2 linked regions of the Astyanax mexicanus genome follow. The protein of the gene in region 1 interacts with the protein of each later gene in a biochemical or structural test. Links are inferred from orthologs where the notes say so. Each region holds a gene or a part of one and is shown in the gene's direction. Other genes may lie near its edges.

The links. The genes of interacting proteins can lie anywhere in the genome.
Region 2: the proteins of erbb2 (region 1) and abl2 form a complex in vitro, tested with the Homo sapiens proteins (3 studies listed by BioGRID and IntAct, with this or other methods). The link is inferred for Astyanax mexicanus from reciprocal best matches to the Homo sapiens genes ERBB2 and ABL2.

Annotation. Positions count from the first base shown.
Region 1 is NC_064422.1:4,071,288-4,078,273, forward strand, and holds the start of erbb2 (receptor tyrosine-protein kinase erbB-2), read left to right. Parts: upstream 1-3,975; 5' UTR 3,976-4,201; coding exon 4,202-4,277; intron 4,278-6,986. UniProt on the Homo sapiens protein: Protein tyrosine kinase that is part of several cell surface receptor complexes, but that apparently needs a coreceptor for ligand binding. Essential component of a neuregulin-receptor complex, although neuregulins do not interact with it alone.
Region 2 is NC_064419.1:45,074,027-45,081,262, forward strand, and holds the start of abl2 (tyrosine-protein kinase ABL2), read left to right. Parts: upstream 1-4,186; 5' UTR 4,187-4,532; coding exon 4,533-4,797; intron 4,798-7,236. UniProt on the Homo sapiens protein: Non-receptor tyrosine-protein kinase that plays an ABL1-overlapping role in key processes linked to cell growth and survival such as cytoskeleton remodeling in response to extracellular stimuli, cell motility and adhesion and receptor endocytosis.

The DNA of each region.
Region 1 (6,986 bases):
GGCCAAATGTATGGAAACACCTTCTCTTTTTCAATGCGTTTTCTTTATTTTCATGACTATTTACATTGTAGCTTCTCACTGAAGGCATCAAAACTATGAATCAACACATGTGGAGTTTTATGTACTGTACTTAACAAAAAAGGTGAAATAACAAAAAAAAAACATTATACCCTAGTTTATTCAAAATAGCTACGCTTTGCTCTGATTACTGCTTTGCACACTCTTGGCATTCTTTCAAAGAGCTTCAAGAGGTGGTCACCTGAAATGGTTTTCCAACAGACTTGAAGGAGTTCCCAGAGGTGTTTTGTTGCCCCTTAGCCTTCACTCTGTGGTCCAGCTCACCCCAAACAATCCGGTTTGGGTTCTGGTCCGGTGACTGTGGAGGCCAGGTCATTTTTTTGATAAGTACATAAAACTCCACATGTGTTCATTCATAGTTTTGATGCCTTCAGTGAGAATCTACAATGTGAAATGAGATGAGAAATGGCTGAAATAACAAAAAAGATATGGAGCTTTCAAAACTCAAGTAATTTAAATAAAACAAGTTCATATTCATAAAGTTTTAAAAGTTCAGAAATCAATATTTGGGGGAATAACCCTGGTTTTTAATTACAGTTTTCATGCATCTTGGTATGCTCTCCTCCACCAGTCTTACACACTGCTTTTGGATAACTTTATGCCACTCCTGGTGCAACAATTAAAGCAGTTTAGCTTGGTCTAATGGCTTGTAATCATCCATCTTCATTTTCATATATTCTAGAGCTGTATATATAAAATTGGAAACGAGAACAGTGTGAATTTTCTTTTTGCTACGAGCAGCAAATGAGTTTTACTCTGATGGCCCATATGGCCCTAAAATAATATATATGATATTTTAGGGAATGTGTGCAATAACAACATACATTTGTTTGGCAATATTATTGCACACAATACGATATGGCGCACCCCTAATTGCTGCATGTCTGAAGTTTGGGAAATAGTACATTGACACTACACAACAGTACTAGCAAAATGTTTTTTGGACAAAGATTGAACTGTTGCTGCACTGCATCTGGCATAACAAAAGTCACTGCACATCACCATTAAAACATCATCCCAACCATACATAAGTATGGTGATGTGAGAGTGTCCTTACATCAGTTGAAACTCTTTTGAGGTTGGGTGATGCAACAGGACACTGACCCAAAACATCAAAGCAGCGGAGCAGATCCACAACAGAATGGCTTATGAGAGTGGCCAAGTCAGAGCCCAGATCTCAGATGCTGGATTGACTGGATTGAGGCATCCAAGAAATATGACAGAGCAAAAGCTGTTCTGCCAGGAAGAAAGGGCTAAAATTCCTCCTGAACAATATGCAGGTCTGATCCACAACAAATGCCTGGCTGAGGTAATGGCTGCCAGGGGCAACCACTTTAAGTTTTGAATGGGGGTGCTCTATGTTATTTTACGCATGTTGCATTTGTTAATACCCTAGAAACTAGTAACTAGTAACTTCTCTGGATGACCCGGTCCATCCAAAATACTTACCGGGTCCTACAGGTACTTTAACTGTACATATAAATAAAGAAAAACAAGCAACAAGAGTGTAACAACTAGGTAAGTTTCTGAAACTTACCTTTTACTTTCCCAACAGGTATGGTGTAATTGTTCACTATAAATCAGTAAATACAAAATACTTATTGGGTCCTACTCGTACTTAAATCTTAAATATAAGTACAAGTAAAGCACAGGGGAACCTGCAATTTCCCTAAACTTATGTTGCAATTTTCATGAAATAATATATATATATATATATATATATATATATATATATATATATATATATATATATATATATATATATATATATATATATATATATACACATATATATTATTTTGCCCTTGGTTCATGGCAGTTATGAAGGCTTGATTTCAGTCACCCTCCAGGGAATTATTATTCTATTAATTTTATGAGTTTGAAAAAAGAAGATTTTTTAAAACTGTCATGGGTGGAGTAGCTAAAAACAGTCAGAGTGGAGCAGGAAGAAAACGTACAGCTTAAAATTCAAGACTAAAATACAATAATATATATATATATATATATATATATATATATATATATATATATATATATATATATATATATATATATATATATATTCTCAATAACAAAATCAGGAATGCAGAGATTTTAAAGAAAATATATTAATTAATACACAAAAACTACAAGGTTTTATATTATTGGTTAATAAACCCACACCTCACCTGATTTTTACTGTTTTTACTCTATAAGTACACAGTACTTCCTCAGTAAGTAGTTAGAAACAACAGGGAGTGGGCTGTATTATGTAGTGTACAGTGTTTCACTGGTCTTACTCTGTAAGTACACAGTACTTACCCTCTAAAACGCGGGCTGTATTATAAAGCGTTACCAAATATAACTGTTGTTGTGTCATTTATGTTTACGTTTATGTAACCTTAAAGTATTTACCTTAAATATTTACAGTCTTGTACCCACAATAAGAAACAAACATAAATGAGCTGCTCACTAAATTCATCTGAATTCATTCTGAATATTGCTACATCAATCAGTAGCAATGTTCAGAAATGGTCTGGGCTATTATGTCAAAACCAGAAAGGTATAGTAACGAAGTAGAGGTACTACTGTTCTTAAGTACTAAAATGCTGTATCTTTATCTACTGGAGTATTATTTTTACTTCACTACTGTACTTAAGTACTAAAATACTGTATCTGTGTCTACCTTAACTTCACTATGTATTTTCCACAAGTTTAATACTTTTACTACAATATATTATTTTATGTGCTAATTCATTACTTGATTCAATTATAAAAATTCCCCATTTCACATTATCACAAAGCAGTAGATGATGCTGCTCATTCTTGAGTGAATCAAGAGATCAAACTTATCTTATAAGGGCTCTGAGTGGTTCAGCCGGCTAGCGCCTGCCACTATTATCAGGAGATTTCCCGTTTGAATCCTGTTCATGTAGCTTGCCATCAGCTGCCGAAGACCTGAGAGAGCACAATTGGCCTTGCTCTCTCTGGGTGGGTAGATGGCACACTCTCCCCGGGTGATGTCGATCAGCACAAGGCGTCTGTGAGCTGATGTATTAAACCTGAGTTGATGCGTTTTCCTTCGAGCGTGCTGTGATTGGAAAAGAGGTGGCAGTTGGAAAAAAGACAGTGGCTGACATCACATATATCGGAGGAGGCATGTACTAGTCCTCACCCTCCTGGTGTTGGGGCATCACTAGTGATAAGGGGGGGTCCTAATGAGTGGGTTGAGTAATAGGCCATGTAAATTGGGAGAAAATAGTCTAAAAATTAGAAATTTTATAGGAAGACCTCGCTGCTCCCGTTCTGCCTTTTACTTTCAGAACTCCAGTACTACATTTTACAATAAACTACAATACTTGCAATACTTAAATACAAATACTTGAATACTTTAGTTCTTCCACTTAAGTGTGTAGCTTAAAGAACACTACAACTTCTACTTAAGTCACTTTTTTGATAGAGTACTTTTACTCAGGTCTTGCTCTATAGTGTTTTATACCGGTCTGGTTATGAGCCAGGCTTCTCCAGTGTCTGAAAACAATCTGTGCAGCTCACCGTGAGTAAAACAACCAGTCCAGCTTTAATTCCCCACTCAATTAACCCAGTGCACAATCACAATAGATAAACAACACACCACACTGCATTACCAGAGGCAGCTGCTGGAGTCACAGCCTGCCTCCCGCTCTGTAATTGGCTGATACCCAGCCTCGTTTAGTTTATTTGGCCAGCAGTGTCCCACCTGCAGCGGTGTGATTGGATTTCTCAGTTTGAGTCCTGCGCTGGGATTGGATAGAAGTTCATATTCTTCAGTTACGGGACAAGCTATGAACTCCGGCGGGTGCGAAGTCTTAGCCAATCGGGGTGCGGTGGGCGTGGCCTGTCGGAGACCCAGTGGAGCCCCGCCCTTCCCCTCCCGTGCCCGGGAGCGCGCCTGCCTGCGGGAAGCTCGTTCCTGAACTGGCGGAGCGGAGCTGAACTCGGAGCTGTACTCGGAGCGCTGCCCGCAGGAAGTTTTACAGACTGAAACGCGCTGAGGGAACCGCAGCACGGGAATACACACTCTCCGCAGGATTATTCCCAGCCTCCGGGGAGCGTTGAGGAGTTATTGAGCGGGTGATTATGGACTAAAGTCCGGCGGAGAGCGATGGAGGCGGTGAGAAGTTTAGGGCTCGTGCTGGCGCTGCTGGCCGGGGCCGTGGCGAGATCTGCGGGGAGAGAAGGTGGGTCAAACCGCCGCATTCCTCAACCAAACACTCCCCCAAACCCCGGCCTTCACCGGAGAACAGCCGCTCACAGCCACTGCAGCGTGTTTATAACCCATAGAGCGAAATGTTTTACCCTAAAATTACTTTAACAATAACTTAAAGTCCTAGCTTAACTTTTTAATGGTAAAAACTTACTTCTACTCACAATTTTTCCATGGTAAAAGCTCTAACTTACTACATCTACTGTATATCAAACTGTGTAATTTTGACTAGCCATATGTTTTGACTTAGCATTTATTTTTATTTCACATTGTCCTATCTATAATTACTTAGCTACAATTACATTTTTTTGCTAGTAAATGTAAAATTATTCTGAGATAAGAGAGAGTGGGGAAAAATATGAAATTCCATGTCAATAAAATAAAATATCAAACAAAATATCAACGTTAAAACAGTAAAATTAATCAAACACTGTGTGACCCTGGATCCAGGCTAATATCTAGTCTGCAGGTTTGATTATGTTATTACTATTAAAAATGAACTGATATCAGAATTAGAAGTAGTACAAACTGTAATACAGAAATCTTGAATTTGAATTTCTTGAGCTATACTAGTATTATAGAGTTAGGACTAATGACTGGGCGATATTGTAGAAAAATAATTTTGATATACTTTAGATATAAATGATTAACGATAATGATTATACATTTAGTTTTTACATAACATCTTCATTTGCACCATTTTAAGTGATGCACAAGCTACTGTTTCCTTTACATTTAATTCAAGAAATGTTTTAGTTTTAGTAAGCAGACCCCTTTAACTTCACATGCAGCTTTTATTTCAAACACAGTGCAAACATAACCTCCTTGACAACAACAGCTGATGTGGATATTTAGACTTTCTGACTAGGAACAATATAAAGGCTCTCAAATCTACACCTAAAACCAGGCCTTTTTAGTTTTCAAAACAGTACTTATGGTCAGTTTATTTAGACTGTTTGACCAAAAAAGACCAAATTTGTAGACCAAAACTAAATCCGGGCCTTCAGAGTTCAAACATAGCCTCCTTGTACTTTAGTTCAGGGAAAGTATAAAATATGAAAATCACTGAAAACCACACATAATAGAGTTCTTTATAGTTTTCTATCTATTGAGATCCACTCTGGCAACCTCTATATGTACATATATACAGTCTCTATTTCCCCATTTTGAAAACCACATAAAACAGTAATTCCATTAATTAATTTGATTAACCTCCCAGCCCTACTTAGGACTCATATCCCTGTTGTGATTTTAGTCTAAAACAATTGTCCATATTGTAGATATAAAAGGGCTGTGGCAGGTTTTTATAGAATTTCAGGCTGCCTACAGAGATTTACTCAAGTGTTTCCACCACAAACTGGCTTTACCACTTTACTGTGACTGACAGCAGAGAGCAATCAACAAACTCAAATCATAAAACCTGCCTTGTAGACCAAAACCTAAGCCTAAGGCTTTGGTCAGGAGCAGTGAGCTGTTTTGGTGTGGGTATCTAAGAATTTCTCACTAGAAAAAGAAAGAGTAGAGTACACTTTAAAACTTGAAAACTTTAGTTTTAGGCAGGTACACAGTGGACAGCAACAACTGATGTGGATATTTAAGACTTTTTAACTATAAACACTTTAAAAAAGACTCTAAAATGTGGACAAAAAACAAACTCAGGCCTTTTAGGGTTTAGTTAGGTTTGCAGAACAGTACTAATGTTAAGGTTATTTAGACTTTCTGAATAAAAAGATGAAAATTGTAAAACAAAACTAAATCCAGGCTTCAGTGTACACTCAAGTGCTTACATCTCAACACTAAATGATATTAGCCTTTCTGATGGGAAAAACCTTCACTTTCAGACAAAAAATACACTCTATACAAAACTATCATTTAATTTATATATTTATTAAACACTGAACATTTATGTGAAACACAACATTTAATCTGTCCCTAGTTAAAGTAAAATATATCAATAGACTTTTATATAAATTCACAAAATATTATTTAGATACTCTATAAATACAAATACACTACGACAGTAATACTTAACATGAGTAAAAAATTGAGTAAAACCGAGCATTTTTAACTGCACCATGTATAATCTGTTATCCTATGAATTCAGTCAAACAGAAAGTTCTTCAACTAAAAGACAGCTTTACTGAGATTCTAGGCCTTCGATTTTAGTTTGATGTGCAAAGAAGCTATAGGTTCTGATTTTAAAGTCTTCATCTGTAGGCTAAACCAAACCTAAACTCAAGCCTGTTTAGAGGTTAAAGGACATTCAAATTTAGGGCGGCACTTTATTGGAAAATATTACAATATTAAAAATGCAGTTGTTAACACCAACTTTTGCTAGAAGTAGGTGAGCCAACATGGCCTGGTATTAATATTCTGTGATCATTCATGCTGATGCATTAAAGCTTTAAAAAAGTAATCTCACCTGGCCAAAACTACACCAGCACTACCCATTTTTATAGACCGAAACTCTGTTTAAAAGAAGCTAGATGGAAAAAAAAAATCTCAAGGCAGCTGAATCATCAGGTGTTAGAACTGAGGTCACTTCATGACGGTCCTCAGTGGTCGGAATGGTGTTGACGGCATTGCACCTGCCAGTTCTAGGCTCATTTCCAACATCTAAAAACACACAAACAAAACTTTACAAACTTCAAATGTAGTTTAACTTCGCACATGTGTCCATAAC
Region 2 (7,236 bases), on another chromosome or scaffold:
TGTATTAAACACAGAGTGATCTATTTTAAGCGTTTATTTATTTTATTGTTGATGATTATGGATTACAGACAATTCTTGCCTGGGCTGTCAGTGTACATGGACAGCCATGTTTTGCAAGGTGTGCAGTTGTGCTGTTCTCTTTTTTTTTTTTTTTTTGGGATGATGGATTAAGGAGTGCTCTGTTTTTATAACCTAACCCTGCTTTACACTTCTCCACAGTGTTATCTCTCATACCTGTCAAATTTTAGATTAAAAAATAAGGGATATTTTCCTCTGTCCGCTTAAAGTTGTCCCACCAGCCCAACGTAGGTTCAGTATCCCTTACATTTTAAGACAGGTTTACAAAAAAAATCTAAAATAACGACATGTGAACCACTTACACACAATTAGATTATCAGAATCTGAAATGTTGCGGACATTCCTACATATGTCATTCTTTTAATACAGCCAAATTAAAAACACTTTTCCAAATATTTTTTTAAAAGTTAAGATTTCATGTCTTTTTGGCATAAATGCACTCTTTTTTATAATATATTTTTATTTATTTAATGGATTTAAAATTGAACAAAGGGTGCACAAATTCTGCAAACTGAATCTTTTGATCACTCCACCCCTGATCAGTTTAGTTAATTTTTAACTGTTTTTTTTTATTTTAAAAGGTTTAATCTGAGTGTTTTATTTCAGAGACGAGTATTTTTAAGCAGCTATCAGAAAAATCTCATCATAGTTTACATGATTAGCCTACCGTTCCCTTTCTTTTAGAAAAATCGCTGTATATCCAGATATGTTTTAACATCAGCTGCTCCGACTAGCTGCCTGTGGCTTCCCCACACTGACCCTCCTTTGCAAGCTGATTGGCTGTTTCTCCTGAAAGGCGGGACTTTCTCCTTGAACCGGCTGCACGATTGGTTAAGAGACACAGAGCAGTCAGCTCCCTTTCTCCTCAATAATATATATATTTTTATTTTAATATAATACGGGAAATTTACGGGAAAATACTAATACGGGAGGACAGCGGGAAAGAGGAGTAAAATACGGTAGTTTCCCGGCCAAAACGGGAGACTTGACAGGTATGATCTCTGTCCTGTCTGGTGTCTTCTTTGGTTTTAATGATGCAGTTTAATTACTAATTTTCTTCAAGGACATCTGTGTTCATACTGAAAATAAATTACACAGGTGTGTATTAACTCTAGTTAATAATTAGGTGACTTCTGAAGGCGATTGGTCACACTGAATTTTATTTTGGGGCATCGGAGTAAAGGTGACTGAATACAAATACACACCACACTTTTTATAATGTAATCTTATTTATTTATTTAAATATTATATTTTACATTTTCTGACCAATTGTCAGACCCATTCAGCTCCAAGTCAGCTGTATATCCCACATCACTAATGATGCTACAACACCAGGAGGGTGAAGACTAGCACATGCCTCCTCCGATACATGTGAAGTCAGACTCCGCCTCTTTTTAACTGCTGATGATGCAGCATTACCGAGTAGCATCCCAGCACTAACGCTTGGAGAAAAGTGCAGCGACTCGGTTCTGATACATCAGCTCACAGAAGCCTCGTGCTGATCAACATCACCCTAGAAGTGATGAGGGGAAAGAGTGCCATCTACTGTACCCACCCAGAGAGAGCAAGGCCAATTGTGCTCTCGCAGGGCTTCGGCAACTGATTGCAAGCTGCATGATCGGGATTCGAATCAAGAATCATAGTGGCAGCACCTTAGTCTGCTTGACTACTAGGAGCCCTTATTTTTATTTATTATTAACATTTAAAAACCATGTGTACTTTTCTTTTTACTTCACAATTACTTGCTACTTTGTGTTGATCTGTTGCAAAGCCAACAATTACATTTAAGTAAATACATTAGAGTAAATATATTTAAGAAAGTGCAAAAAATACATTTTGCAGTCGTCTAAGATCTACTGCATGAATGATGGTCTGCAGACTCTGTGTGCATATGGGTGGGTGTGATGGATTTCAGAGGACAGGGTTATGGGTTAAACAGCAGATAAAAGTCACATGCGTTCAGTAGTTTGGCGGCACTCGTGGCTTCATGAAGAGCGACGTGGGAAATCTGCAACAAGGCCTTGTTGTTTAGTCGCTGTCCTGTCTTTAGATTTGTAAGAAGTCTGACCCAGCATGTCTTTGGACATTATACATTTATATTAATAGCTAAAATATGTTTATCTGTAATAATAAAATCTATGATCCCTGCATAAAATGCTTAAAATTGAGATGCAAATATAAAAAATGATATTAAATCAAATTTTGATCAAACGTTTACTTAGTAAAGTCCAAATAAAATAAAACTGTACAAATAATGGTTAATCAGCCCTATTAGAAATAGGTTAAAAGGGGAAGAAAAGAAAAGAAAACAAAGCAAAATAAAAGCACAAATACCATATCTGGAAATGTACAAAACCTTAAAAATTCTCATATACTATCATATGTTTGAAAGTCTATTGGTTTTATACATTTTTATCATGTTTGATTCTGATTCTTTTATTGTTTTCAATTATTTGTCCAGCTAAAGTCCCCTCCCTTATCCCGTTGTTAGGCACGCCCCTTTCCCCGCTCTGACATCACTGATTGGTCCGTGATCTGCACGTCACCGATTATGTGTATTGAGAAATGTTAAAAGATAAATGAAATGTAATAAATAAATAAATAAATAAAATGATATAAAATTATGTATATACTATACCCGTTTTTATGTTCTGAAAAAAACTATATGTTCTAATTTGTTATTTTGTTAGCCTAGCTATACTTATTGTTTTATATAGTAAAATTTATTATTTATATTATTGATATAGCAGTAGTAGTAGTAGGTGTATCTAATGAAATCGTAAACAACAACCTTGTTGTGTTTTAATGTGTCAGTTTGTTAGTTTATGTCTATTTGTTTCATTATCCTTATTTGTTTAAATTATATAATAATAACAACAATATTGGCAGAAGGCGTGGTTAGTAAAATCCTAAAAAAAACGATCTGTTCTTATTTGTCTAATTTGCTAAATTAGTTTTTATTTGATCTATTAATTATTTAATTGTTTTATTAATCATATTATTGCACTATAGAATAGTGCTCAGAGGAACCAAATTTCCACAGAGTCCATCACTACAGACCACCAAACTTCATGTAGATTCAGATTAAATCAAGAACAGCAAACTGGAGAGACCTCACATCACTAAACACAGCAATGTAGGCCAGCGCAGGATGCCCAGAGTATTAATAAAACTCATTTTGATTCCTTCAAATGCAATTCAGTTTCATTGTTGAAAACATGTTGCGAGGTCAGAGCCTTGTTATGTTTTAATGTGTCAGTTTGTTTATATTATGTCTATTGATTTTATGTTTTTTTAAATATACATTTATCATTTTCTAATTATACTGTATTATTGGAGTAGCATTTTTTTTTTTTTTACATTTTTTGCACTAGTAGATTTTGCACAAGCTTTCACTGCAAATTTAAATTAGTATATAACTGTGTATTTGCACTTTTTGTACTTTATTATATGCACATCATTATACTGGTGTTCACTGTCTACTGTGTTCAACTGCACTATTTCCATTACACACTACTGACTAGCTAGCTAGCAATGTTGCCAGAAGGCGTGGTTAGCGAAATCCTAAAAAAAACTGTTCTAACTTGTCTATTTGTTATACTACTTTTTATTTTTTCATTTTGTATATATTAATTATTTTATTGTTTTGTATTATTATTAATTGTTTTCTAATTATACTGTATTATTGGAGTAGCAATGTTGCCAGAAGGTGTCATTAGTGAAAGCCTAAAAAACTTTTCTAACTTGTCTTTTTGTTATACTAGTTTTTACTTTTACGTTTTATATCCTATCTATTCATTATTTTATTGTTTTTTATTGTTATTATAATTTTATTATTTTATTGTAGTAATACGGGTCCTGGGGTAGTTTTCTTTTTTATAGGTGGTCCTCTGTGATTTTATTCCCATCGGAACGACCATGTATTTTTACATTTTATATCCTGTCTATTAATTATTTTATTAGTAATATATACTGCAGTAGCTACTATCTTATGGGCGTGACTAAGTTAGTCACCGCCTTCCCCTGAAATTAACCACGCCCCATCCCCTCTCCCAAATCTCTGATTGGCTGGAGACCTGCACGCCACTGATTCTGCGGTAAAGATGGCGGCGTCAGAGGGGGCGCATAGTGGTTGTAGCGGAGCGGAGGGAGCCCTAACGGAGGAGCCGCTTTATTAAAAACACGCAGCTGCGGCAACCGGGGAACCGGGGGAGGGTCTGCCGCTACCGGCCCGGCGACACGCTGCTCGGAGCCGCGGAGCTGCGCGGGTAGAGGCGCTGCAGACCGCTGGGTGGGCTCGGGCTCCGAATCGGGAACAGGCGCGGGTGGAGGGGGAGGAGGAACAGCCAGCAGGCCGCTGCGACCCGCGGCCGGGGGGGATGTGATCCGGCCGGACAGCGCGGTGTCCCTCAGCTCGGCCTGCGGTTCGGCTTTTCTCCCGCACAGCTCGCACAATGGGGCAGCAGGTAGGCCGCGTGGGGGACGGCGGCTCTCCGGCGCTCCAGAGCCCGCCGCAGCCTCAGCCCCAGCCCCACTCACAGCCACAGCTCCAGCCCCAGCTCCAGCAGCAGCAGCACCCGGGCAGAGCGGCCCGGACCAGCGGCGGTGGCGGAGGGAGGAGACCCAGGGACGCTGCCAGCGCTGCGGCTCCCGCATGCAGGCTGACCGCTGCTGCTAACATGCCGGACCCGGGGGTCAACGTGTTCACCCAGCATTCAGGTGAGCCTTTCTGAGTTTTTGTGGTTCTGTTGGATTTATTGGTCTAGCTAGCGAGGAGGCTAAGGTCAGCTGGACTCAACAACATATTTAACATTATATAATTATTTTATTTATTTATATAATTAAGTTAATTGCCAACTTGCTTGTCCTGTCCAACCGTCAGTGTGTAGTCTTTTCTCCACCGGTATTATGATGGTATTAGCCAGCTAGGTTAACTGGGTGGTGACTGGTCCTCCTTATACAGTAGCTAACATAATCTTATATATTAGCCAGGGTCTGCTTATCTGTCTGTGTGATCTGTGGATAGGGTGGACCAATATACACTGTCTGGCCAAAAAAAAAGCCCTATCCGGATGGAATTAGTTTCTCAGGGGGTCCTGGGGTAATTTTCTCTTTTATAGGTGGTCCTCTGTGATTTTATTCCAATCCGGAACGACCATGTATGTGTTTTTCTCAGACATTCTGAGTTTCGTCACCTTACGTTTAATAAAAACGGCTATTTGTCCACTGCCACACACCGTAATTACACTTTGGGTGCACTTTTGTTTCTATGGAGATCCATGTAAACACAACAGCGAGTGGAAATGGAGGAGCTACTGAACGCGATGTCGTGTGACTGAGAAAGCCAAGAATAATCACTGGTCCTCTTGTTTTTTTAATTGCGTTCCAGATGCAACAGTTTTAACACTCTTAAGAGTAGAACTGTGAAATATTTATCACAGACGTCCCCCTGAGAAACTAATCCTGTCCAAATAGGGCTTAATAGTTGGTTGGACTTCCTTTAGCTGTGATTGCAGCACGCATTCACTGTGGCATTTATTTATTTAGATTTATTTAAATCCAGTGTTCTTTCAGCATTGATGATGGTAAAGTCTGACCGCTTCACAAAGTCTTTTCCAGCACATCCCAAAGATTCTCAATGAGGTTAAGGTCTGGACTCTGTGGTGAACTCTCTCAATCCATGTGTGAAAATGATGGTCTCATGCTTCCTGAACCCTGAACTCTTTCACAATTCCAGCCCCATGAATCCTGACATTGTCATCTTGGAATATGGTCGTATCATCAGGGAAGAAAAAATAAACCCATTGATTGGATAACCTGGTCTATATTCAGTATAATCAGGTAGCCAGCTGACCTCCTGTGTAGTCTTCCCTGTATAACATTTAAAACCCTGACCCTGGCCAAAATGACGGCAGTGGTCATCAAGAAGCGACTAATCTCATTTCTTGATCTCCCATCTTTTAAGATGTATGGAAGAAAGGCATCTACACTCGGGTGGTGGCTTTAACTTCCGCTGTGTGTTTGAAAGGCTTTTCCTTCATTTTATTTGACTTTCAGGTGAAGTGGAGTATGTGAGCGTTGTTGTGTGTGTCTTAATTCTTTTTAATTTACCAGTATATATTCCTTCTTTTTATATTTTGAGCTGTAGTTATCTATAATTGTTTATTTTTATTTGCAAGAAACAAGTCGATAGGCTAAAAAAAAAAAGTTCAGTCATGTAACTAACCCCACTGCAGCATTTCCTCCAGTGACTTCCCGTAGTCTTCCCTGCATTAGATACAAAACAAAACCCTGACACTGGCCTAAATGGCAGCGGTCAAAACCACATCCATACTGAGAGATCTTCCAGCTACTAATGTGGCTTGTCTTGACTCACCATCCTTCAAGATGTATGGAATACTTTCCTGGCACATTTGCTTTGTGTTTGAAAGGCTGTTTTCCAAGAGTACTCTTGATTTTATTTGACTTTCAGGTAAAGTGGGGAGTGTAAGCATGTTTTGTGTCTATATTCAGCAACCGTCTTGTAGTCCTTCTGGGATCTAAGCTGTCTTTATCTATCTAACGCACTTCCAGTATTTAGTGGCGTGTTACTCGGTTTCTGCTAGAATTATATTTTTGAGGATTATTTTTGGTAAATTTTTTGTATTTTATTTTTCCAATGGAAAACACAGGTGCACCACTGACCGATATTAACCTAGGCAGACGTCATTAGTCAGACGTTCATTGCTATCTTGTACACCCCTCTTTATTACACACACACACACACAATGGCATACAGCAGTGCACAGACCTAATTTTTTCACAGAACACTATATAAAATAACATTGCTGTTCTCAGAAATGAACTGCTTACACACCTTCACTTCCTCTTCTAAGAAGCACAGAAGTGCTGCGTTGTTTAAATAGCAATCCACCAAAGTCAGAGCGTGTGCACCTTGCTTTTATAGGAAATGGCAAGTGACACGCTGACTGTTTTATTTCATGTTATGTTAAAAAAAAAAAAAACCATAATTAGTTAAGAGAATTAGTACATGCGTTTTTTTATTGGCATACTTTTTCCGTCATTACGATAGCAAAGATACACTAAATAGGGCCCAAGGTATTGGACTTGCCTTTTGAAATGATATATATGAAATAAAATAAATCAATAAAAAATAAG